Schizosaccharomyces pombe: one gene and its partners. The gene in region 2 interacts genetically with the main gene of each other region. Each region holds a gene or a part of one and is shown on either strand. Other genes may lie near its edges.

Region 1 (6,968 bases), on a different chromosome or scaffold from region 2:
CCCTATTTTCTTGATATGGTGGAAAATAGAGGGCATACTTTTATTCCTTAGACAGGATCCTCTTACTTGTATGTTTGCGGCAAAGTATATGCGAGTAATGATGTTGGCTAGTCCGGCATACGCATTATTTGAAGCACTAAAACGTTTCCTTCAGGTGCAAGGTATATTTCATCCTGTAACATACATTTTAGCAATTGTTGTACCTATTAATATTTTTCTTAATTACCTTTTTGTGTGGAGTCCCTGGGTTGGTTTCGGTTTTCTAGGTGCACCGGTCGCTGTAGCATTAACGCTATGGAGTGCTTGTGCTGTTCTAATTATCTATATTATGAAGGTAAACGGACGACAAGCATGGGGAGGTTTTAGTAGAGAAGCATTAAAAAATTGGGGCCCGTTATGTCGATTGGCTGTTCCTGGTGTAATTATGATTTGCAGTGAGTACTGGGCTTTTGAACTCGTTACTTTCGCATCGGGCGTGTTGGGTACCACTGAATTAGCCTCTATGTCTGTTTTGTCTACTACCTCGACCCTTTCTTATAATTTGGCTTTCGGTGTCGCTGCTGCAGCTGCCACAAGAGTAGGAAATTTAATTGGTGCTGGAAATACGAAACTCGCTAAGCTAGCTACGCACGTTTCTATCAATTTAGGTGCTGCAATTGGTGTTATCATTGCTGTAATCCTTTTTTTAACTCGCAACACATGGACTTACATTTTTACGTCTGATAAAGATGTCGTCGCATTGGTTGCAACTATCATTCCCCTTGTTGCACTCATTAATATTGCCGATAATACACAATGTGTAGCTGGAGGCCTTCTTCGGGGACAAGGAAGACAAAGGATTGGTGGGGTAGTAAATTTCATCGCATATTATTTATTGGGTTTGCCTGTTGCCATAATCCTTTGCTTCAAGCTAGATTGGGGGCTGTACGGTTTATGGATTGGAATTGGAGCTGCAATTCTAATTATTGCTGGAGTAGAAACTTGGTGCTCATTGCATGTCAATTGGGACCATTTAGTTGAACTTGCTAATCGTCAGTTTGATGAGGCTTAAAAGTTGATACGGACAAGTTAATGATTATTTAAATATGTATTGTGGTTTGTCATAAATTGATATATTTGAAGAGATATGTTCGGTTTATGATACCATGGTTACGACTACTAACAGTTGATTGATAAAAGTATTCGAGTCGGTACTTTTTCCAGTCTTCAAGATTTGGCCATGTTTTGGCCTATCCTAAAAATTAAGTTTACGAAAATTGCAGTGCTTTAAACTCTCATATTTATGAAGCTTATAAAAGTAAATTAAATTAATGGTAATTTGGAATCTTTTTGGGTGATTAATATATAAAATACCACATATGCTAGCTAGCAACGTTGGGCGGTAGCATTCAATTAAATATTATTTCTTTTTAAGACTTACTTAAAGAATTAATTTAAGTTTGAATAAATATGTAAATCATCTTGCAGATGCGAGTATATTAATTGCCATAAATAATTCTGTTCGCAGTGAGAATAGTTACCGAGTACAAATCGCTCGCTCAGAATTATTAAACGACTTAATATCAAAAGTTAATAAAATATGTCTCTGGTTTCATATCCTCGATCAGAATCCGAAAGCGATATTGAAGAAGAAACACCATTAGCTTCTAAAAGTTTCGATCCTACTTTGTTTCAGCATGCGCGCAGAAAATTGTCGGTTGACAGCACTAAAAAGTCACCTAAACGCCTGAAACGGCAAGTTGATTTACAGAAATCTTCTTTTAATGATAAAACTTTTAATGAATCTGATGTTATCTCTAATGAACGATTTAAATCTAATGATTTACTTGAACTTTTGCCTGCCCCAAAAAATCAAGCTGAATTAGCTCCAAAGTCATCTAAAAGATCGGACCTTGATTTAAATGAAAACTATTTATTACCTAATAACTCTGTAAGCGATTTAACCTCTACTGGATCCTCCGAAACTGTCAAGAAATCAACGTATTCAGAAAAGTCTGGTAACGTTTCGTTATTTAATATCGTAGGATCAGAGTCAAAGCAAGCCTCTTTAGTAGATTCCGATCAGAAACCTTACCAACCAATTTTGATAAAACCTAAAGCTAGAGCAAATCCTCCGAAATTGAGGAATCAACCCGAGAACGATTTCATTTCTATTGCTAATCACTCAGTACATTCAAATGCAGAGGACATAAACATTATCAATGAAGATTACATTGAAATTGGACGCCACCGAAAAGAGAAGGGACGAATTATAGACGTTGATATCAACAAACTTCCAAAACCGACCCAAGAAGCATTGCCAAGCGCCCCTACTATTAAAAGTGTTGCACCTGGTCGTCATCAACTGTCTTCTCTTGTTGAAATGGCTATCAGTCAAAAAGACAACTTTGAAGCTTATTTTGAGCAGCAACGATCAAACAAAAAGGCATCTTCTCAAAAGTATGGGTTTTAGCTTTAAGTAAATGTTACGCCCCGATAGTTAGTTTTAGGTTTTAACTGCTCGTGTATTTGTAAATTAAAAGCTGTTTATCAACAGATTCATTTTATGTATTTTTTTTTAGTTTCTGCGAAAATAGCAGACAACAAAATATGATTTTACTTATTTTATTTTACATACTAATGACTTTATTCATCGCTATTCATAAGCATACTGATAATACAATATTATCTTTGCAAGTATGTCCCAGCTATAATTCATATTTGCAATGCAACTAGCCTTTTTTTGTTAATTTTAAAAAGGAAACTTGGCTTTAATCTTCGATTTATGGTATATCCAGAGTTTGAATTGTTTAACCATATAATCAGTGTTCTCACTGGGACTACCACTTATCATAGCGTCTACCGATTTTGTGTGACCTATGCCTACTCCACATGACTGAGGTGAAGAAGGATTTCAATAAATTATAAGAGGTTTTCGTGCTTTTAGCATCAATTTTAATAGAATTTGAATTAATATTTGCTATAAAGAAGAAGGCTCGTCTTTTGTTGTACTTCAGGGTGCTTATATGATACTGTGTCCACATTTTAACACTCGATAAGGTATTATAGTCTGTAAAGTCTAATTAAGCTATCCTGACGATGAAAGAGCAAGAGTTCTCATATAGAGAAGCAAAAGATGTGTCTCTTGACTCTAAAGGCTTAGAAAACAGTTTTCTTTCTTCTCCAAATCGAGAAAAAACACCCCTTTTTTTTGAGGGTAACAGTAATGAAACCTCGGGATATGATCAAACAAAAAACTTTACACATGGAGATGGCGATATGTCCCTTGGAAACCTTTCGGAACTAAACGTTGCGACAGATCTTTTAGAGTCACTTGATTTAAGAAGCATGTATATGCATGGCTATGGGCACCTCGATTCATCTTTTTCTTCTCAACATAGTCCTGATAATCGTAAAAGAATGAGTAGTACATCAGTGTTTAAGAGGATTAATTCCGAGGAAGAAGGTCGCATTCCTAGTTTGACGTACTCGGCAGGAACTATGAACTCGACAAGTTCTTCTACTGCGTCTTTGAAAGGTGCTGATATTGTTGCAGATTATGAAACATTTAATCCGGATCAAAATTTAGCTGAATTATCCTTTGACCGCTCCAAATCGTCTCGCAAGAGGGCGGTAGAAGTAGCAGAATTTAGTCGAGCTAAGACAATGTCTCCGTTGGAATACACTGTTCAACATCCATATCAATCCCATAATGAACTGTCTACAAACCCAGCCCGAGCAAGAGCTGGAAGCGTTCCCAACTTGGCTCGCATACCATCTGATGTCAAGCCCGTACCTCCAGCACATCTATCTGCATCTTCTACTGTAGGTCCAAGGATTCTTCCTAGTCTTCCCAAAGATACCACAGAGGACAATCCAGCGTTGGAAAGGGTCGAAACGACGGCGTCTCTCGATATGGATTATAAACCTTTAGAACCTTTAGCTCCCATTCAGGAAGCCCCTGTTGAAGATACTTCAGAGCCTTTTTCTTCAGTCCCAGAGGCCACCTTAGACGACTCAGATATCTCTACAGAAAGTCTTCGTAAAAAGGTTTTGGCCAAGATGGAAGCAAAACGGATTTCCAGTGGATCTTCCTATGCTAGTACACTTAGGAAAGTTTATGATTTCTCTGAGCTTTCCCTTCCCACCAACGGTAAAGACTATGATGAGTTATACCTTCAATCTTCCCGTAATTCAGAACCTGAGATTTCTACTATTATCAATGATTCTTTACAACAGGAAAATATGGATGAGGATATTAGTGCCACTTCAATTCCGAAATCTCAGGCCGCCTATGGTCATGGATCTGTAACGTATCATGAAGTCCCCAGATACAATCTAACTTCTGCTTCCGTGGGATATAGTATATCTAGTCAACGTGGTCGTATAAAAAGCAGTTCTACCATTGACAATTTGAGTGCTATTTTAAGCTCTGAAGATTTACGTCACCCATCAATGCAACCCGTACCAGGAACGAAGCGTACTTATAGTAATTATTGTGAAAATGAGCCAAACAAGTCTAGCCAAAGTTTAGTCAGTTCTGAGTCCCATAACGTCGAAGGATGGAATTATTCGGAAACTGGTACAGTAGGTTTTTACGACCCTAGTGCCGAGATATCCGCCAGCATTGATGAACTTAGGCAGTCTACGCCTGTAGCCAGAGATAGCGAACTTTTAAGTCGTGCACATTCCTTTGATTTGAATCGCCTTGATCTTCCAAGTCAGGATAAGAGTACGTCTTACGAAGTCCCGAATGGTACTGAAAATCAATCACCACGTCCTGTTACTTCTCTTGGATTTGTGAATGAAACATTTTTTGAAGAGAAACCAAAGGCGCCCTTGCCACTTGGTCGCTTTTATATACATTTGAACAGCATTTTGAATATTTCGATAAGTGAAGTCCATTCACCTATCAAGATAATAGTTAATACGCCTACGCAAAATATGCAGCTTCCTTGGCAAGCTGTTAATGGGAATAATAGGTTGGACCATGATTTTGCTTTTCATGTTGACGATAACTTTAAAGTGAGTTTTATGTTTCTTGACATCCCTATTGAGGACAAGTCCAACGGTTCGAAAGGAGTATCTGCTACAAAAGACGTTTCAAACGGTAAGCCTGCTGAAACGAAATCCAAAGCTAGGAAATTTTTTGACAAGCTTTTCAACCGACGCAAAAAGAGAAAACTCAACAAGGCTGCTGCAGTTGAGAATTCAAAGGCTAAGAAGTCAGTGGTTATCAAGAAAGTCTCGGGTACTGCTACGTTAAATTTGGGTAATGTCAAAGACAGTTGTTTTGGAAAGGCTTTCAACGTAGAAATACCCATCATTTCCAGAGGCTTCTTGGAAGCGATTCCTGTAAAAATAAACTCTATAGGGAAACGTACACTTGGTAATCTAACTTTGACTTGTTTGTATATTCCTGAGCTTTCGGTTCCAGAGCAGGAATTGCCATTTACCTTAGAACAAGCTACGATGGACTTGCGACACGTTAGAAGTAACTATCTATATAATGAGGGATACTTGTATAGATTGGAAGATTCATCTATTCGAAGACGTTTTGTCGTTTTACGCTCAAAGCAGCTGAATTTTTATGCTGAAAAAGGTGGGCAATATTTGGATACTTTTCAGCTTTCTAAGACAGTAGTTTCAATCCCAATGGTAAATTTTTCAGAGGCAGTTTCAAACCTCGGTCTAGTAGCTGGAATATTGGCTACATCTGTTGATAGAAGGCATGTTCAGTTGTTTGCGGACTCTAAAAAGGTTTGCCAAAAATGGCTTCAGGTGATGAATTCACGCTCGTTTGCTCTAGATAGGGGTACTGAGAAATTATGGTTACAAGAATACGTGAATTTTATGGCTTAATATCTGAATTTATGAATACTAATCGTCTTAATGTATTTTTTGAATAATTTTTACTTATCGGATTTACTAAATGAGGGAGTTGAACTGAAATTATATAACTACTGAATTAATACTTATAGATCATTTTTCATTTTTAATCTGAATAATTAATCAACTTTTGGTTTTTTGAATATACTCTATAATGAGTAAAGTAATATAAAGGTGTTTTGTGTTGGCTAAATTTACATTACCTATATTTTGCCGTACGCACTCTAAATTGTTACAATAATATAGGGGTCAAGCAACTACTCAAATCACATTATTTAAAGGAGATGCAAAAACAAGATGATTTTTCATTTAAATATTGGACTATCAAAGTCCAACGGGGGTCAATTTTAAAAAGCCATGAGATGGAGAACCTTCAAAGTACATTGGGTTTTCCACCTCCTGAGATGACCTTTGGGAATAATTACATCTCAATTGAATACAAGAATCAGCCTGTAGTTGGATTTTTTACTGAAGATGCTCTTAAAATGGTTGGTACCAAACCTGAAGATGTAATGCAAGTTTCTTTTGCAAAAGACTGGGCCAAATCCAGAATTAAGCCCGGAGAAGAATACCCTGTGATTTACCCATTTGATTGGACTTATTATACTGATTATCAGGGAACTATACAACGTCCAAATGCAAAATTCATTGAAATTGATCAGGTAATACCTGTTCAAAAAATACTTAACGCAGGACAAAATTTATGGTTCAATGAGATAATTCTTTTCGAAGATGAGTTAGCAGATAATGGAAAATCAATGTTTGATGTGAGAGCTCGAGTTGTTCAGGGTCATTTAATATTGTTAGCACGCCTTGTCGTACGTTTAGACAAGGTAAATGTTCGATTGAATGAGACGAGGATATATATTGATTTGTTGAATGATTTTCTCTTGAAGGACTGCCGTAAAAAGCAAGCTACTTACGACAAAATTATTAAACAAATACCTGTGGGGGGAGACAAAGCTGCATTGCTAGATGATAACAATTGGTTAAGTGAGCGCCTTGATACCGTTGACCATAAAATCTATAAATTGAATTTTTGATGCTAAAATGATTCGCTAATGGCAGACATGAGAATTTAGAACTTTTGTCAACGAATG
Region 2 (8,067 bases):
TTTAGTAGAATTTTTAAATAATTGAAATGAGTTTTAAAAAGCTAAATCTTAGGGATTGCTGAAGTATTTGCCCTTTTGTTTATTCAAATACGATGGTTTACGCTACACCTCATTATCCAATATTTTTGCAAGGTGTAGAGCTTACTACTAGAAATTGAAACTTGCAACGAACCAAAAAGGATGAAGGTCAAAACAATCACCCGTGGTACTTCGTTGACACGTCTTAATGATCAAGATCCTGTTAAAAGGAATTTAGATCCATCGCTCCATCCTTTTGAACGTGCGCGTGAGTATACACGTGCATTGAATGCTACAAAGATGGACAGGATGTTCGCAGCCCCTTTTCTTGGTCAATTGGGTAGAGGACATCAAGATGGTGTTTATTCATTAGCTCGTGATACAAAAACTTTGATAGATTGTGCCAGTGGAAGTGGTGATGGTGGTATGTGATAAATAAGTGGATATAAAAAGTTTGGATGTCACTAACACATTTTCTAGCTGTAAAACTATGGGATGCTAGTGAACGTTGTGAGCGCTGGACTTCAAAGGCACATGAAGGCATTGTTAGGGGATTAGTATTCTCTAATCAAGGAGACGTTTTATCTTGCGCTTCTGATCGCTATGTTTACATGCTTAATAAACAAGATGGCAAAGTTAAAAGATCGTATTTGGGAGACTCTTCTCTTTTGGATATTGACACTAGCAAAGGAGGTGATTTATTTGCAACTAGCGGTGAAAATGTATCTATTTGGGACTATTCTCGTGATACTCCAGTAACAAAGTTTGAATGGGGAGCTGATACATTACCGGTAGTCAAATTTAACTATACGGAAACATCGGTTTTGGCTTCAGCTGGTATGGATCGATCAATCGTAATTTACGATCTCCGTACATCATCACCGTTAACCAAATTGATTACCAAATTGAGAACTAATTCAATTTCTTGGAATCCAATGGAGGCATTTAATTTTGTAGCTGGCAGTGAGGATCACAATTTGTATATGTACGATATGCGAAATTTAAAGCGGGCATTACACGTTTATAAGGATCACGTTTCTGCCGTTATGTCAGTAGATTTTTCACCGACAGGTCAAGAGTTTGTTAGTGGTTCTTATGACAAAACGATTCGAATTTACAATGTTCGGGAGGGTCATAGTCGTGATGTTTATCATACAAAACGTATGCAGCGAGTTACTGCAGTTAAATTTTCAATGGATGCACAATACATATTCTCTGGTTCCGATGATAGTAATGTTCGTCTTTGGAGAGCTCGTGCTTCTTCCCGTGCGTCAATTCGCTCTACTCGTGAGGAGAATCGCCTCAAATATCTTGACTCATTGCGAGAGCGCTATAAGCATATTCCTGAAATTCGCCGTATTGCCCGTCATCGTCATCTTCCAACTAATGTCAAAAAGGCTGCCGAAATAAAACGTGAAGAGATTAATTCTCTAAAGAGACGTGAAGAGAACATTCGCCGTCATAGTAAAAAAGGTGCCGTGCCCTATGAAAAAGAACGTGAAAGGCATGTTGTTGGTATTCAAAAATAATTCTAAGTTTCTATTTAATGGTGTTATAAAAGGTTTCTATGGTTTGGGTTTTCAAATTTTTTTCTCAGTTCAATTTTTTGATTATGGTGGAATTTATTCTCGTGTATAGTATACAATGCAACATAACAAGCAACCAATTTTACTAAGAAAAAGCAGAACAAGTCGGTTTCTTTGAATAAATATGCATCAGTTGATGATCTACAATTTCTTTTTTGAACATTGAAACTGGTTGCTGTAAAAATGTACGCAGATTTGGATCTTTGAATCTTCTAATATAAACTACGAAAAAAAAAAGATGGAACATTGACCTAAATTTTTATGTTTCGATTCATTCTTTTAATGTCGTTTCTTTTAGAAGTAGTAAGAACATATGTAAGTCAGTTCTAAGTTTATATACTCTGGTTTTAATTTCACATTTTGAATAATTAATTTATCATGGTATAAAAAAACAGCTAAATAAATAATTCAATTAAATATTATTGATGAAATGTGTAGAGTCCAATGAGTGAGTAGACTGGGCGTTTTCGTCTTCTGTCATATAGTACCTCATCGTGACCAAAATTCAGTATAATTAAACACTGTATAGTATCACAACTAAAAAAGCAATTGCTAACTCGTATTTTATCATATATATGATCTTTGGTAAAACCCACTTTCTTTCTTATAATATCCTTCGATATTCAACAAAACGATGGATGAACCGTCATAGTTATAGTCATCATGCGAAATGTACAGTGGCACAATTATTGAAGCAAAATTTACTTACGTTTGAAAACCAAAGAATTCAACCTGAAGAAGAATTGAAAGAAAATCTCACAAAGGTTGTTAATTACTTTCAAGCTCCCATTGATGTCGCCGTAGGTTATGGCAGCGGGGTCTTTAGGCAAGCTGGATATTCTCAAAAGGTAAATAGTAATTATTAATCGTTATACTCGTTTAATCTAAAACTTCTAACTTATGTCTCTGCTAGGAGAATCCCATGATTGATTTTATATTTCAGGTAGAAGACCCAGTCAAGTGGCACAAAATAAATTTGCAGCAAAACCCTTCTCATTATTCATTTGTTAAAAATTTTGGACCTGGTTTCGTGTCAACACTTCAAGAATCTTTTGGCACCGGTGTATACTACAATACACATGTGGAAGTAGAGGGAAATATAATCAAATATGGTGTTACTAGCAAAAAAGATGTTTATGAAGATCTTAAAAATTGGAATACTATGTATCTAGCGGGGCGCTTTCAAAAACCCGTAAGTTAAATAAACAGACTTCTGCTACAATTGTGGATATTAACCGAATTTGAACAAATAGGTTGTCATACTTAAAGGGGAAGATGAATTTTACAAAGAAAACTCTTATAATTTAAGTAGTGCCTTACACGTTGGCCTGTTAATGTTAGCAGACCGATTCACAGAGTTCGATCTTTACAAAACGATTGTAAGTTTATCCTACCTTGGCGATATTCGAATGTCCTTTTTCGCCGAAAATCCTCGAAAAGTTGAAAATATTGTTTCTAAGCAAATAGCTTTCTTTCGTAAGCTATATTTGCCACTATTGTATGCAGAACCTGGAGTTCATTTCATTGAATCATCAGAAGTTTTAAAATCTATGGATCCGAGTGATAATTCGCGATACCTCTCTTTCCATCAGAACATCACGAAGGATTCCATATCACGTCTTTTGAATGGACTCCCATTAAACTTGGTGAAAATTTTAGGCTTAAAACCTGACACTTCATCGTTTGAAAAGTGCGCTGAACTGATGTTAACGAACCAAATTTCGACAAGGAGTCTACTAATTAGCAAATCAATAAAAAAATTAACAAGCTTTAGTATTCTTACACAAAGTATAAAGGGAATTTTCACTGCCAGGTGTCATTCGTTCCGTTGGTATATGTCTATGCGAAGCTAAAGAAAGGGCTTCTGAGCAAATGGGGTCGCTAGCTTACTAATGAATGCAATATACATAGCATCTATTTGTTAACTACCGGTTAATTTTCTGAAGATATCTTAACATTAGTATTACAAGGATTGTTGAAGCTTATCTGTATAGTTAGACTTTCTCATATTTGAACGCTGATTTGTATCTCCATTGGCAAATCGGATTTTCGATCGTAAAGCTCTTAAAGGGATAAAGGGTTGTAGTAATTTTTGGACTTCATGTGATGAGCTGCTTTCAATAGTTGTTTACATTAAGTGCTTATTTCAACGTAGTATACATATGAAAGAGGTATAGTACAGAAACGAAAGTCATTGATTAAATAATAGCATTGGTATAATCTTACAAAAACGATTGACCTATAAAAGAGCGTATAATTACATTTTAGAACTGAAGCTTCTTGATTTAGATCGCTGATGTCCCGCGTCCGATGAAGTTATGACATGCTTCTTTTCTGGAGATCCTGAAGAAAACCCGATTGCAGCAGCTAGCCTTCTTGACCAAGATGGTTTCCTTTTGTCTGTTAACGCAGTTGATGGACGGACTGGTAGTTTACTGGAAGATCCAGAAAACGAAGAAAACCTCTTTTTAGAATTAGGAAGAGTGACCTCCAAATTAACAGAATTTCTTGCAGCGTTATGTGGAACACGCTTCTTTTCTATAATACTATTTTTTGGTTCTTCTATCGGTACAACAGCTGAAGATGAGGGATGGGATTCAATGGGAACAAATTCGCTGCTCGAAGAAATAGCTGGCTGCATGGACAGCTTCTGTAACATATTTAGTCTTTCTTCCAGACGAATAACTCGACTTTCAATCTCTTGGAGTGCCAATTGCTTAGTTTTGACTTGATCGGTGAGTAACGAGTAGGTTGTATTTAGCTTAACAAAGTCCTTATCCAATCGATTAATTTTGCTGGTTAAATCCGCCTTCTTTCCTTCTAACTCCTCTACGTTCATTTGTAACTGCCGATTATGATCGTCTAATGCAACTGATGACACTGAACGATCATCTACTTTGAAGGCATTGTTGTTCACTAACAGGAGGTTCTCTTTCTCTAAATTGTCAGCATTAGTAAGCACAGAAGCATTAATTCCAGAATTAGGGCTTGGACAGATTGCAGAGAGGCGTGCTACTTCGTTCTTAAGTAGATTCAGCTGTTCAGTAAACTCGTCAGCAGTATTTGAGGAGGCTCCAGGAAGGCAACTACCGGGCATATTAGAGGGATTTTCAGCTAGCGTCTCTGAGCGAAGCACAATATCGCGTAACTGGGCTACCAAATCTTGCTGCTCTGCTAGAATTCCCTGCTGTAAAGCCTGGTTCTCCATAGAGGGACCTAAAATAAATTTAAATGAGTCCATGGTTTCCTTGAACGAAAGCAGTTGATCGGTTTGTTCGGTCAAAGTTTGTAAAAGAGTCTCATTGCTTTGCTTGGCTAAATTCATCTGTTGAAACAGCTTATCAGCATCGAAATTCTCATATTTCGACAATGCAACAGCGAGTTTCTGATATTGAACATAAGAATTATGAAATTTCTGGAGAAGTACACCATCTTTCTCATGAACTGACAAAAGAGAATTCAAATAATCTTGTATTTCCTCTTGATCTTTGGAGTCCATCTGTTCTTCTCCACCATTAAAATTAGAATTAGAGCCATCACTGCCTACAGGCTTCCTATTATTAGTACGAAGAATCACATTATTTTGTAATCCACTCAAAATTTCTTGCTTTCTTTGAAAATTCTCGCTCAATTCGTCACCAACTTCTTTAAATCCAGCATTTATCTCTATCCAATGAGTGGAGGAGGGTGTATCAGTTTCCTCTAATCTTGCACTTAACAATTTTATACTTTCCTCTAAAGATAGCAACTTATCCTTTGACACATTAAAGTACTGCAATTCTTTCCAGTATTTTTGTAGAGAGGCTTGTAATGCGTTGTCTATATTTAAAGTTCCTTTCTTAAGATGGGCCAAACAATTTCCAAGTTCTCTACGAACCTCCAAACTGTTACCTTTATTGAGTTCTTTAATAACTTGAACAATTTGTTCTCTATCTTTAGAAGAAGCCTCTTGTAAAATTTTTTGGATTTGGTTTAGAGATTCGGTAACTTGGGTGGCATTTGCTTCAGCCGTGGGAGTTTGAAGTATTAAAGAGCGTAAGTCTTGTAAGTAATTAGCATTATCACAACTCCTCTGGTAAAGTTTATTTATTTGATTCACGACTGATCCTGTTGTGAGCGAAATTGAATTAAGCACCTCTAAATTACGAGAATCCGCTTCAGGAATTGGTAGGTAATTACGATGCGAATATGGAGATAATCGGTTAGACAAATTAGGCAAGGCTGTAGACCTAGGTATTGATGGAAGACCATCATCATGAGGGGGAGTAGGCAAATTCATAGACGGTTGCCGAAATGGGTCATTAAAACTTCCACTATTAATTACCGTTAGTACACTAGACAAAAGACGTAAAGTTTGTAAACATACTCTATTCCTTTAAGCTGACTTTTGCTTGTGAAAGCAGATTTGCTCATGCTCTGCCTCTTAGACACCTCAAGCGCTCGACCTTTAGGAGTTGGCAGTTATTAAGTGGTTGTTGATTACTGGAAAGAAGGGACGATTGAATTTTCCCATATGTAGCAATCCAAGTTGTACAAAACATTTTATTATTATTAAATTAAGTGTTAAAAATTCAAATTAATTTTATTCTTTACAAAAAGAGGTGTGGAAGTGCTTTTGCATCGCTAAGCTATAGTTACGGATTTTTGAAATTGCTAGGTATGAGGGTATTATGAATGTATACACTGCAATAAATAGATGATTTTGAAAGCTAAATTTGAGATTTATAGTGCGGCAAGAGAGAACTTGTATTGATAGATTCTCGAAGCAAATTTTAGCGAAAAGAATTTTAAAACAAAAAAATAAGGCATAAAAAAATCAAATATTGAAATACGACTGAAGCAATGCTACACTTCAGTTGAAGCAATCTTTAGGAGGGAAATTAGTAAGCTAGTGTGAAACTCCTAATCAACATTTTGTGGTAAAACCACTGTTGCAAGATGCTTTTCGAAACAAAGGGGGAGATGCATTTTCCTGAGGAAAAAGGGGGAGATTGCTGTAATCAGGATCAAAGCAATCATCCTGTTCAGTACCTATGGAATCCAAAGTGCCAAAGGTTTTCTCAACTTTGGAAATCTTTTGTTGTTCGTTTGCAAGTCGTTCAGCCTTTTCGAAAGCTTGTTCAAGATAAGAATCAAAGAAGGGATCAGATGAAGGACTTGAAGTGCTAACGGCTGCAGAACAAGGTAGCCATGTAGAACGTTGAGATGCCGATGGCTGAGCTAAGGGTTGGTCAGTTAGAGAGTTGGGAAGATCGTTTGCAAAATATTTTTGAGAATTAGTAAAGTTTGAAATATGTGAGGATTGAGTAGGAGCAGAAGTAACGGAGGACGAAGCAAAGTTAGAAGTTAGAATATTAAAATCGCGTGCCCAATGCGTATTAGAAATTTCGGACGAATTCATATTGAAAGACAGTTGGCTTGGCTTTAAAAAAGCATTTTTTCCTTGTCGAAGTACGGAAGGTTGAGATGTTGAAGAATGCTGGAAAGATTGGTACTCATTATTGAGAACATTTTGGGGAACAAAATTGCGATTGCTTGAAGACGCATATGATACATTATTATTCGATGATTGGGATAAATTCCGGAAACAAAAGTTAGAAGATTTTGAGTCAGCTGCGACAAGCTGCTGTAGTGAAGACCTTGTACAAGACTCCATATCGAAAACACTTTCTGATTTTTTAATAAATTATAACATAAAACAAATAGTACACACAAAAGGATTAGAAAAGGATAGAAAAACAATATCCGCCGACAACTATGAATTGAATTCTGTTATTGTTCTCCTTTCTTTTTTTTTTAATAAACAAAAAGATGGGAAGAAATAAATAGTTTTCGATGTTTGTTAAACGAAGAATTAGCCAATTTGAGTGTTCAATATAGTCACATTCAAAATTAGCTGAGCAAATTCAAATAAACTAAGATTAGGTTGGGTTTCTTTTCAACAATCCCGCTCTAGGATTGTATTTAAATGAAATTATTTTTAATGCTAGATAAAACAATAGAAGTAATATTGGTAAAGTTTTTCTTGATTTTGAGGAACCTTGATGCTTCTCACTCGGACGTATTGGTGATGCTATTTTGACGCTGATTTTAGTTACAGATCAACCGAAACTTTTTTTCTTCTTAGATATTGACTTCTTTGCCACAAAATACTTCTTTTAAAAACGTCTTTCCACTTTCGACTTTGACAAATAATTTTTTTCTCAAGCGAACTTTTTTTAATATACTATTCGATAGGCGAGCAAATATCCAACGTGGATCCGGGGATAAGCAAAGGCCAAATAGAGGTGCAAGATAGCTAGAAATATGATTTTTTTTCAATAAAATGAATTTTAAAATGAAGAGGACGTTGGTGGAGGATAAGTTCAGGAGGTCTGATGTGTTCCTTGGTAAGCGAGAAATAGCCTTATAATGTGGGACACTGAAGAATCAACCTTTTGATCTGCTCTGATCGAGCGGAATA
Region 3 (9,251 bases), 370 kb from region 2:
TTCTTCATTACTTATTTAGATAATATATTCTCAAGTACTAGATACTTAATCAACACTCAAGTCATTTTTTATTTAACAAAATGCAAATATAATAATTATTATTTACCCTAATTGAGAGCATTTCTAATGAGAAATAAGCATCCACATCACACAAATCCTTTAAAAAAAAATAAAATGCTTTAGACAGAAGAATTCTTTGTTGAAGAATAAACAATCTTTGTCGCTGGCTGAATCAGATTAAATTTATCCATTGAAGTTCCAGCAGCTGATTTACCAAACACAAAAGGCAAAATTAAAAGAACAAAAAAGGCAATAAACAATGAAAAGTACAAAGTGGCATAGCGAAGAACTATTTGACGACGAAGTTTGTTTTGTCTTATGGTATAAATTGGGGGTCGAATTTGTCTGCTGGGCACAAGCCAGAATAATATGATCGAGTGAAGTTTGTCGATATAAGGAATCAAAATAACAGGCGCTTGCAAAAACAACAAAAGATGACTTAAAAGGAAATCACCAGCAAACATATTCAACTCTGTAGTTTTACACACAAATTCTCTCCATGGTTGCGTTAAAACCATATATCCAAAACCTTGGCCATTCCAACGTCCAGACCACCAAGCTAAATTGGCACCATCATGACGAAATTCTCGAGACAGGAAACATATGATAAAAAATTTATGAGCAAACCTGTGAATTGAAATGATTGCTACAAATCCAAGTAAAGTTTTTGAAAATGACCAACCTTCCAAATAGCCCAATACTTCAAAGACAACAACATCAACACACACAAAAAGGAAATGGGCCACTCCAGCCAAATATACACCATACGTTTTAGATCTATCGCCGAGAATAGGACGTAACATGATTCCTAAACAGAAAAAGAAAAAAGCAATAATTGCACTTAAAACCAAAGGAGCAACTGACATAATAATCAAGCGAATAAAAGCATTAGTAGATTGGGTCTCATCATCGTTACCAGGTTGGGAATTGATAAAGAGAAATGGAATACACGTGAAAAATAGTGTTCCTAGAGGCCCTAATATTTCACCATAAAACATTGTAGTAATTCTCGCACGCGGGGAATCCATAGCAATTTTATCTGCCTTCTTACCATATATTTTACGTTTATACCCAGTTACTCTGGTACGGCAAAGTTGACAGTTGCCAATCCATGAATTTGCTTGATTGCGTGAATTTTCGCGGAATAGCCAGCGCATAAACTCACGATAATCAACAAAGAAATCGGTCCAGGCGAATTGATGGGGATTGTAAAGGAATGGACTAATGCAAAGAGCAGTCAGCGTAATCCAAAAGTAAATATAATGCGGCAACCAAGCAGTAATTGAACCAAACAATAACATGTACATAAGTCGTGACCCAAAATAAAGTGATGGTCCAGAGAATCGAGAATACAATAGTGAGAACGGCACACGAACAGTAGCAAAACCTCTGCTAGTACCAATATAGCGTGCACCACCAAACGTAAGATTTGCAATTAAACTCTGCGCATATATTTGGCATGTGAAAATTTCAAAAATAGGAGATAGAGAGAATATTTGTTTCGCTAAACGAATAACCATTCGGATGGCACCGCGTTCCCCTAATTCACAAACAGCAAGTGGAACAAAAGCAATACCAAAGACAATGAAAATAGACAAAATACAACGCTTCAACCACTCGAGAACTGGTTTTAATTGATAACAACCTTCAGGGTACAAAGAAGCTGTCAAGGAGTCAAATTGGCGGTATCTACAAACCGGAACAACAGTGTACATTGCTCCCAAATTAATAATAACAAGCATCAATAACTGTAAAGAAAACATGATGACCATGTTATTGACGTGAAATCCAGCGTGGGCATAGAAAAATGACAAAAACCTATCAAACGGTAATTGTGTGCCAAGGTTGAAATATTCTCTTGAAAGCATTTGTTCCGCCATACCCGTTCCAATTTTCGTAGTAAAGTTAAGAATTGAGCCAAAACCCAAGTCACGACCCTTACCACATTGATAGTAATCACAATGCTTAATACGTCCTCCACGTTGAAGAGCAATCATACCTGCATAAATATCTTCATTAACATGCAGACCTTTTTGTGCTTTTGAAACGCCGCCACGAGTAATCATAAACAAAACATTAATAAAATCAGGATGTCCGTAATGCAATTTTCCACCAATCAACGATAAAATACGAGCGAAAAGAGTACCAAATGTTTGTTCCTTTCCAGCAGCTACATCTCCAAGCATACCTGTATTTTCTGAAAAAATGTATTCTCTAGCACCGAGAATAGCTACGGGATGATTGTCAGCAGCTTTGGCATTTACCGAGTAAGGGCTATGTAAGGGAGGAGTAAGTTGCTCAAATTCAGCAAGAATGCTACGAATCTTTAGACATTCTTCCAAATAATTATCCTGGTTGGCATCGATCATTTGTACATATTCACCTCTAATGTAAGGAATAGACATATTTTGATTATCAGATTTACCGTCACCCAAAATTGGGTTACCAGATAGACGAATACGATATTTGGGTCGACGCTTTCCATTTTCCATAATGGGGCAATGACCGTCAATCAGTACAGAATAAAGATGGCGCTCGTCATTATGTCGAGATTGAGGATCTTCATCCATATATGCAATTTGCAAGTCTGGATACGCTCTTAATAAAAATTCTGCATTTTCGGCTTCTTCTTTGGTAAACTTAGCATACCGCTGCATGGAGACACAGAATCGGAACTTCCTGTTTGCCATTAAATCCAATTCTTCATCTAATCGCACAGGGTCACCATTTGTCCATTCGACCAATTCTGGTGTTTCCGTTCTGTATAACAGTTTGATGGCACGACTATAGTTACTGAAACCGTTGATAGTGCGATACAAAGTTTGAGTTCTCAGAGAGGCCCAAATTCTTGTTCTCAAAGTATACTCCGGAGTCGCAGATTTAAATCCAACACAATAGAAAGGAAGGTCATATGCTTTATTTACTCCATTTTTTTCATTGTCGATACTGCCAATAACAGAATCATTTTCATCAGCAAGTAATTTTGTATCATCAACAAAATTTCTCCACTCCACAGGATATAGCTGCTTCAAGTACTCTAATAGAGTTACGCGAGAAAGTTGATCTTCCTCGCGAATAATCTCTCTTAAAGATAACAAAATTTTCTCAGAATAGTGAGGAACCAAAACAGTGAAGGTAGGCATGGCATCAATGGAACTAGTCTTGGGTATTGATTCAGCCAAGGATTGTGCGAAAAAGGAGATTCTTCGAGCAGCTTCTGAATTAGCCGGAAACAAATCTTGCTTATAATGCTTAACCTGTTGGGAGTAGAAAAAGTTGGGAGCTCTAAGAGTATGATAGCCTGCCTTTTCAGAAGGTACTTGATGGTACAACAACTCCTGAATTTGGGTACGGGAAATCAAATGCTCCCTGTACATCGAGATAATAATGGCATTCCAAACTTGAGAAATAAGTACTTTTGGCTTGAAGACAATCTCCATGTCATCGGTATACAACAGTTTTGTATATATTCTTCTGGGAACGCGGTAAAACAATTCTCTCCAAGGAGTCCACACACTGATACCCAGGCAAAAAGCATAAGCCAAAGAATAGATAGTGCTGATAAGAATGTACCATAGATAAGTATCAAGGAAAAACAGAGAAAGATCAGTTAAATACAGTAAACTCAAGAGAATTTTAGGCTGAGCCTTGCATAGTCCAGCTCCTAAAATGTAATCACGGCAGTCATAAGGTCGCATAGCACCCAAAAATCTGATAGAATCTGCCAAATTCAAAGTTAAAAAGAAATAAGATTCCAAGAATTTGGCCACCAAAACTGTAATCCAAAGACACCAAGAAACGAAAGCACCTGTTTTTGAGGTCGGAGTGAAATTGGCGGTGAAAAATCTGTTAGCAAGGTTTTTTCCAGACCTTTTTGTGGTGAAACCAACCAAATTTCGTAACGGCGTAATCGAATAGTAAACTACACAGACCAACGAGAAAAAGAAATGCACAATTCCTACAACCAATCGAGAAGCATAATGCTGCTCTTTCGTAGACGAAGCAAATATGAAAACAACAGGTGCGATGTTTAGAAGTAGCGTACTTATCAATAACAGCATACTCGGCCACAACCTTCTGGCAGAATGATAACGACGAGGAACATGTATATATTCGAAAACCACAGCTGCCAAGGTGATAAAAGAAGCTATAGCACCAGCTAAACCACAAGCTGTCCAACGACAAGAAGCAGGAGGTTTATTATTCAAGCGGATGTGATAATTTTTGGTGTACAAATTTGGGGAATTATAAGCCGAATAATACCAGTAAGCAGATATATGCATTACCCAAATACGTGAGAAATTGGTAACGTTATGGAACCAAGAACGATACTCGTAATAGGACTTATAAAAACATGATTTCCATTCAACATCGGAAAGATGTCGATATCGCATAAACGGTGGTAAATCTAACAACGGAGTTTTATCAGCACACATGATTTCCTGAAGGCCCTTGTAGGACCAAAACAATTGATTAATATCATCATAGCCAATGATTTGAGAATGATCTCTTTCTCGTCTGACGTATTTGCCGTCCAAAATTTCAAACAGCTGTGCATGAATAAATCGATAAATAGGGGTGATAACCGAGTCTAAATAAAATTCCTTGGGCAAAGCAGCATCGACATCTTTAGCTTCCGAAGAGATATAATAATCATAAGCACATTCAAATATAAAACAAAGACACTCGGGAACAAAACGAACATTGTTAGCTTCACCCCAGCAAAGAAAATAAAGGCACACCTGCACCATCATGCGATGGGGTGAAAATGCTGCCATTTGATCTCTCCATGCCTGTTCAGCTTCTTTCAAAGTCATTGTTTCGACAATTGGGGAAGACATATCGTGAAATCCAATGGCATGACCGTCATTAAAATGAGAAGCAAAGTACCACTTTGAAAAATTTGCATGTTCACCACCAATGACATCGGCATGGATAGTAAGCAGTGCCGAGGAAGGAGACATACGAGATGCCCGAGAATCTAAAAGAACCATAACATAATCAAAAATGTTACGCATGTTATCTTTTTGAAAACCAAGTTTATTTGTAAGGTCCAACAAGATCTCTTGAACACCTTCCATAGTAACAGGAGCCTCTTCACCAGCTTGATTCCAAGCCGGATAAGCAACTGAACTGGAATCGACATTAAATGAAGAGCTATCATAATCAGAATGTAATGCATCACGAGAAGAGTTTTTATCGTAAATCATACGGGTCAGAGAGCTCATAGTATCATCGTCAGAGACATAACTATTGGCATCATCTTCAAAGAGTCCACGACCCTCTTGTTCACGCCAATACTGATCCATGATGAATAAATAGACTCAAAAGAAGGAGAGAGGACAAATTTTAATGCTTAAATTAAGAAGAATTGAAAGAAAGAAAAGTTGGAATTTGTGAGAAAGAATGCTAGCAAATGAGGAACGATGTTCAAAAGAAAGAAATAAATTTAAGAGACCTTGAAAAAAAGATTAAAAAGAAAGAAGTTAAGCCTTGGAAAATGGGGGCAAAAGAGTAGAAGAGAAAAAAATTTGTGCTGATTGAAATGAAAAAAGTAAAAGACTTTTTCAAATCCTAAAAAGAAGAAAAAAGGGTGATATATGTATGCCGGATGAGAGAAGACGGCGGAAAAAGCTCTAAAAGTAGGAAAAAGGGTGGGATCACGAAGTGAAAGAGTAGTTAAGATATCGGAGGTTCAAAAGGGAATGAACGGAACCTAAAAATACAGTATGCAAATTATAAAAAAAGAGGCGAAAAAAAAGAAGAAATAATTATAAAAACAACAATAATAATACCATAAAACAGCAAGCACCAAAAGAAGTACTTACAAATGCACACCTAGGAAACTGACCAAATTTTTAAAAAAGCGATTCAAGGAAGGACGTTTTTTTAAAAGAAAAGGAGAAAATATAAAATCGCTTTCCACATAAACTTTAGATTGAACAATTAAATTGTCGTATGCAGAAGCTTATTTACAATCTCTCAAAGCGAAAAAAAAGTAAATGGAGATGGGAAAATGGAAGGAAAAGAGAAGCGAAAGGGTAAGAGGAACCCGGGACAAACGCCAAACGTCCACACAAACACAATGCTACGACAAAAGGTGATCTTGCACACACCGAAAACTTAGCAGTGATGGAGCAACTAACGTAAAGATAATATCACACAAGAAAACTTGGCAAATGTTAAGATGGAGTCAACCTTTTTGTATGGAGGCTAATAGGAAAAAAGAGAGGAAAAAGAAAAGAAGGAACCAATGATAGATATATAAGAAGGAAGAAAAAATTAATTCCGTGCAACAGAATCAAAAATTTGACGTTAAAAAGGATAATTTACTCTAATTAATCAATATATTTTCAAAAATTTTAGAGTAATTCCACTAAGAGAACGGTGAAAATAGCCAAAACCCACCAGTTCCTAGTTTGTTGTCTGCAAGTTGTACTCATTCCGGTTCTTTCAAAACTAACAGCGAAATGGGGAAGGGTAGTGCACATTATTGAGGCCTATTTTAGTGTAAGCAATTTAGAGGCTGGCGTGGTAGGAGGCTCAGGTTACTCACCAACGAGGCACAAGGAGGCTTAAAAAACCATCCCCATACAAAGCAAAGCCATAGCCGGTCAAACAAAGAAAGAATTTATAAGCAGCTACTGTGTAGCATCTTATCAATCGTTATACCCAGCTACCGTTTTAGATGGATACTTTTAACCAAACTAAGGACGCTATATTTGAATTGGAAAAGAAGTAAACAAACTACAAAAAGTCAAGAAAGTGTAGCTGAAACCATAATTCAGTTACAGTGAACATAAGCGACGAGTGTTCTTTTTTTTTGGAATTGTTAAACTAATTTCTAATATGTGATTGTCTACATGGGTGGTAAACAATAGTAAAAATAATACAAAGCTAGAAGGTACCGAATCCCAATTAGCAAAGGTATGATTATTACAGTATAGAGCTTATGAAGAGAACTAGGCATTGGGCTTTTTTCGCAAATCCCGAAAATTGGGAAAATCATAGACGCACAATGTCTGGGTATTGAATGCGTGGGAAAAGTACGGATTTGAATGCTAACAAATCTGGTTAGGATCTAAAGAAGATGAAAAGACAACCGAGTACGAATTTAAAAGCAATTGGTTAATCCAAAGGAAGAAACAATGTGCCGGCATTGGAAAAGGTTTCCATTCCATATTCTGGTTAAGACTTGGATTGGGCAATTTCCCTTACGAATACCCCAAAAACAAACACATCCTGTAAATATTTTTATCTATCAATCGACTATTACAGCGATATTCTTTTAAATCTTTGATGACTATTTAGTTGTCACACTTAAACAACTTCTTACAATCATTTGACTACAACTATTTCTATTGTCGCACCTTCTGCTCTTTTCATTTTCTCCATTTCATTAATTCCTATATTTTCTACTTCTCTAGTTTGTTTTACTTCTTTACACTACCTTATTAGATAAATAATCTAGCACCCTAGCCTTTCTTATCATCTTAACCCCCTGTAGCGAGACTTTTTTCGTCCGGTACCTTACAGGGCTTGGGTGGGCTTTATAGAAAGGCTCAGTACATTTACCACGAGATTTTGAAAAGGATAAATCCAGCGTTTTTTCCTACAAACTATACGTTCCTGATACGCTGTATACGCTTCTTTTTCATCCAAATTTCACATTTTTTATATTTTGGTTCAAGTCTGGGGTTGATTTAAGAAAAATTTTTTTCCGTACTGCCTATTCAGTGTTTCTATTTATATTCAAAGGTGAAATTTTTTGTCTCCGCAAACTTTACATTGCCGTTATTGTCGCTTTGTTTACATTTTGAAAGTCTCAAATTGAATATTTTGAATTTCATCCTTGGCTTTTTTTTATTTGGTTTCCATTTATTTTGGTGATCGGCTTCCTTATTTTTTTTTGCACATTTAGTATTGGGTTAGACTTCAAGTCATAGGAGCCGATTGAATGATATCCTAATATTTGCCTGCTTTTTTAAAATTCTTCCAAAGTTATCTCTTTTTTCTACATTAAAAGGTTTTTTCATTCGTCTACCCAAAACGTTAACGACATTTTCCTTGTATTCTTATCCCTTTAGATTATATCCCATTTTGGTACCCATTACTGTTTTGCTGCATTTCAAGTCAAGCTGATACATTCAAGTGAATCTAGCGGATAATCATATTTTGTATTTCAACCTTTAAGTTTTGCACTTCCTTGCATGCGTCTTTGCCTTCCCTTAATTTTGATTTTTATTACACTGTCAATAATCACGAAACAAGAATATAAGAATAGTCGAAACTCTCACTTTCTTTGCGCCCTTTTTTCCTTCTCCCTTTTCTCCTAATTTTTATTTCTAGACTTCACTGAATTTCCTCGGTTGATTTAGTCAATTGGTTTAATTTTTAATCCTTTTTTTGTTGTTTTTTTACTATTTTGGTTCTTAATTGTCGCTCTTTTTCTACTTCTTATTTATATTATTACCTAAATATTTGGACTCTAACTATGGATATTAATCCTCCTCCTAGTACTGCTCCTTCATCTCCTCGCCGTTCTGTATGTGCTACATAGTGGTTTGGTTCCATTCATACACCCCTTTTCTCCTCGCTAACGTACCATTTAGATACAGCGTATTTCCGATGCAAAAAATAAGGCTCTTACTTTTAATCGTCGACGACTTGGCTTGATAAAAAAAGCACATGAACTCTCCGTTTTGTGTGATGCTAAAGTGGTGGTCATGATTTTTGATTCTAAAAATGCTTGTCACGTTGTATGTTTCATATTTCCCGTTTTTCTGATCCTTTTCTGTCATATCCTTTCAATGTAAAGTGAATACATTATAGGGAAGGTGATGAAGGTCAACAACCAGAAAACGTGGCAATGTTTTTACAAGTTTTTAATATTAACATACACCTCTTTAGTATTCTTCTGAGGAACCGGAAGAGCAAAGAGATGCCTTGCTGCAAAAATTCCTGAACAAGGACTTTGTCACGGTTGACCCTCTGGTAAGTCACTTATCAGCAATCATTATGCTTGTCCTGTATTCTGTTTACTAACATAATCCCTTGGGGAGAAAGAGAAACATAAATCCTAATATACCATCTGATGAATCCCTTCATAATTGGAGACCTAAAGATAAGCGGATTGCTTCTGTTACCACATACAGTGCTCAACCTTCTAATAATTGCTCTTCTGCTACCGA

Evidence for each region. Genes that interact genetically often act in the same process or in processes that back each other up.
Region 1: mutations in blt1 (region 2) and mid1 impair growth when combined (synthetic growth defect), as found in Schizosaccharomyces pombe (2 studies listed by BioGRID, with this or other methods).
Region 3: mutations in blt1 (region 2) and bgs1 impair growth when combined (synthetic growth defect), as found in Schizosaccharomyces pombe (one study listed by BioGRID).

The regions. Positions count from the first base shown.
Region 1 is NC_003421.2:1,146,326-1,153,293, reverse strand, and holds mid1 (anillin-related medial ring protein Mid1), read left to right. Parts: upstream 1-2,858; 5' UTR 2,859-3,078; coding exon 3,079-5,841; 3' UTR 5,842-5,978; downstream 5,979-6,968. Other genes in the region: SPOM_SPCC4B3.13 (MatE family transporter), read left to right, coding at 1-1,051; protein Cwf20, read left to right, coding at 1,580-2,452; TIP41 type 2a phosphatase regulator Tip41, read left to right, coding at 6,153-6,911. UniProt on the Schizosaccharomyces pombe protein: Scaffold protein that anchors the contractile ring (CR) at the cell equator during cytokinesis.
Region 2 is NC_003423.3:1,982,466-1,990,532, reverse strand, and holds blt1 (ubiquitin domain-like protein Blt1), read right to left. Parts: upstream 6,068-8,067; 5' UTR 6,018-6,067; coding exon 5,971-6,017; exon of another isoform or gene 5,918-5,970; coding exon 3,862-5,917; 3' UTR 3,490-3,861; coding exon of another isoform or gene 3,433-3,489; 3' UTR 3,432-3,432; coding exon of another isoform or gene 3,416-3,431; 3' UTR 3,415-3,415; coding exon of another isoform or gene 2,858-3,414; 3' UTR 2,797-2,857; coding exon of another isoform or gene 2,518-2,796; 3' UTR 2,453-2,517; coding exon of another isoform or gene 2,180-2,452; 3' UTR 1,981-2,179; downstream 1-1,980. Other genes in the region: U3 snoRNP-associated protein Sof1, read left to right, coding at 181-442, 499-1,547; SPOM_SPBC1A4.04 (uncharacterized protein), read right to left, coding at 6,511-7,260.
Region 3 is NC_003423.3:2,350,875-2,360,125, forward strand, and holds bgs1 (primary septum and spore wall linear 1,3-beta-glucan synthase catalytic subunit Bgs1), read right to left. Parts: upstream 6,491-9,251; 5' UTR 5,370-6,490; coding exon 180-5,369; 3' UTR 48-179; downstream 1-47. Other genes in the region: DNA-binding transcription factor, MADS-box Mbx1, read left to right, coding at 8,555-8,605, 8,673-8,819, 8,971-9,054, 9,127-9,251. UniProt on the Schizosaccharomyces pombe protein: Alternate catalytic subunit of the 1,3-beta-glucan synthase (GS) complex. Synthesizes 1,3-beta-glucan, a major structural component of the fungal cell wall. Required for the assembly of the division septum and maintenance of cell polarity.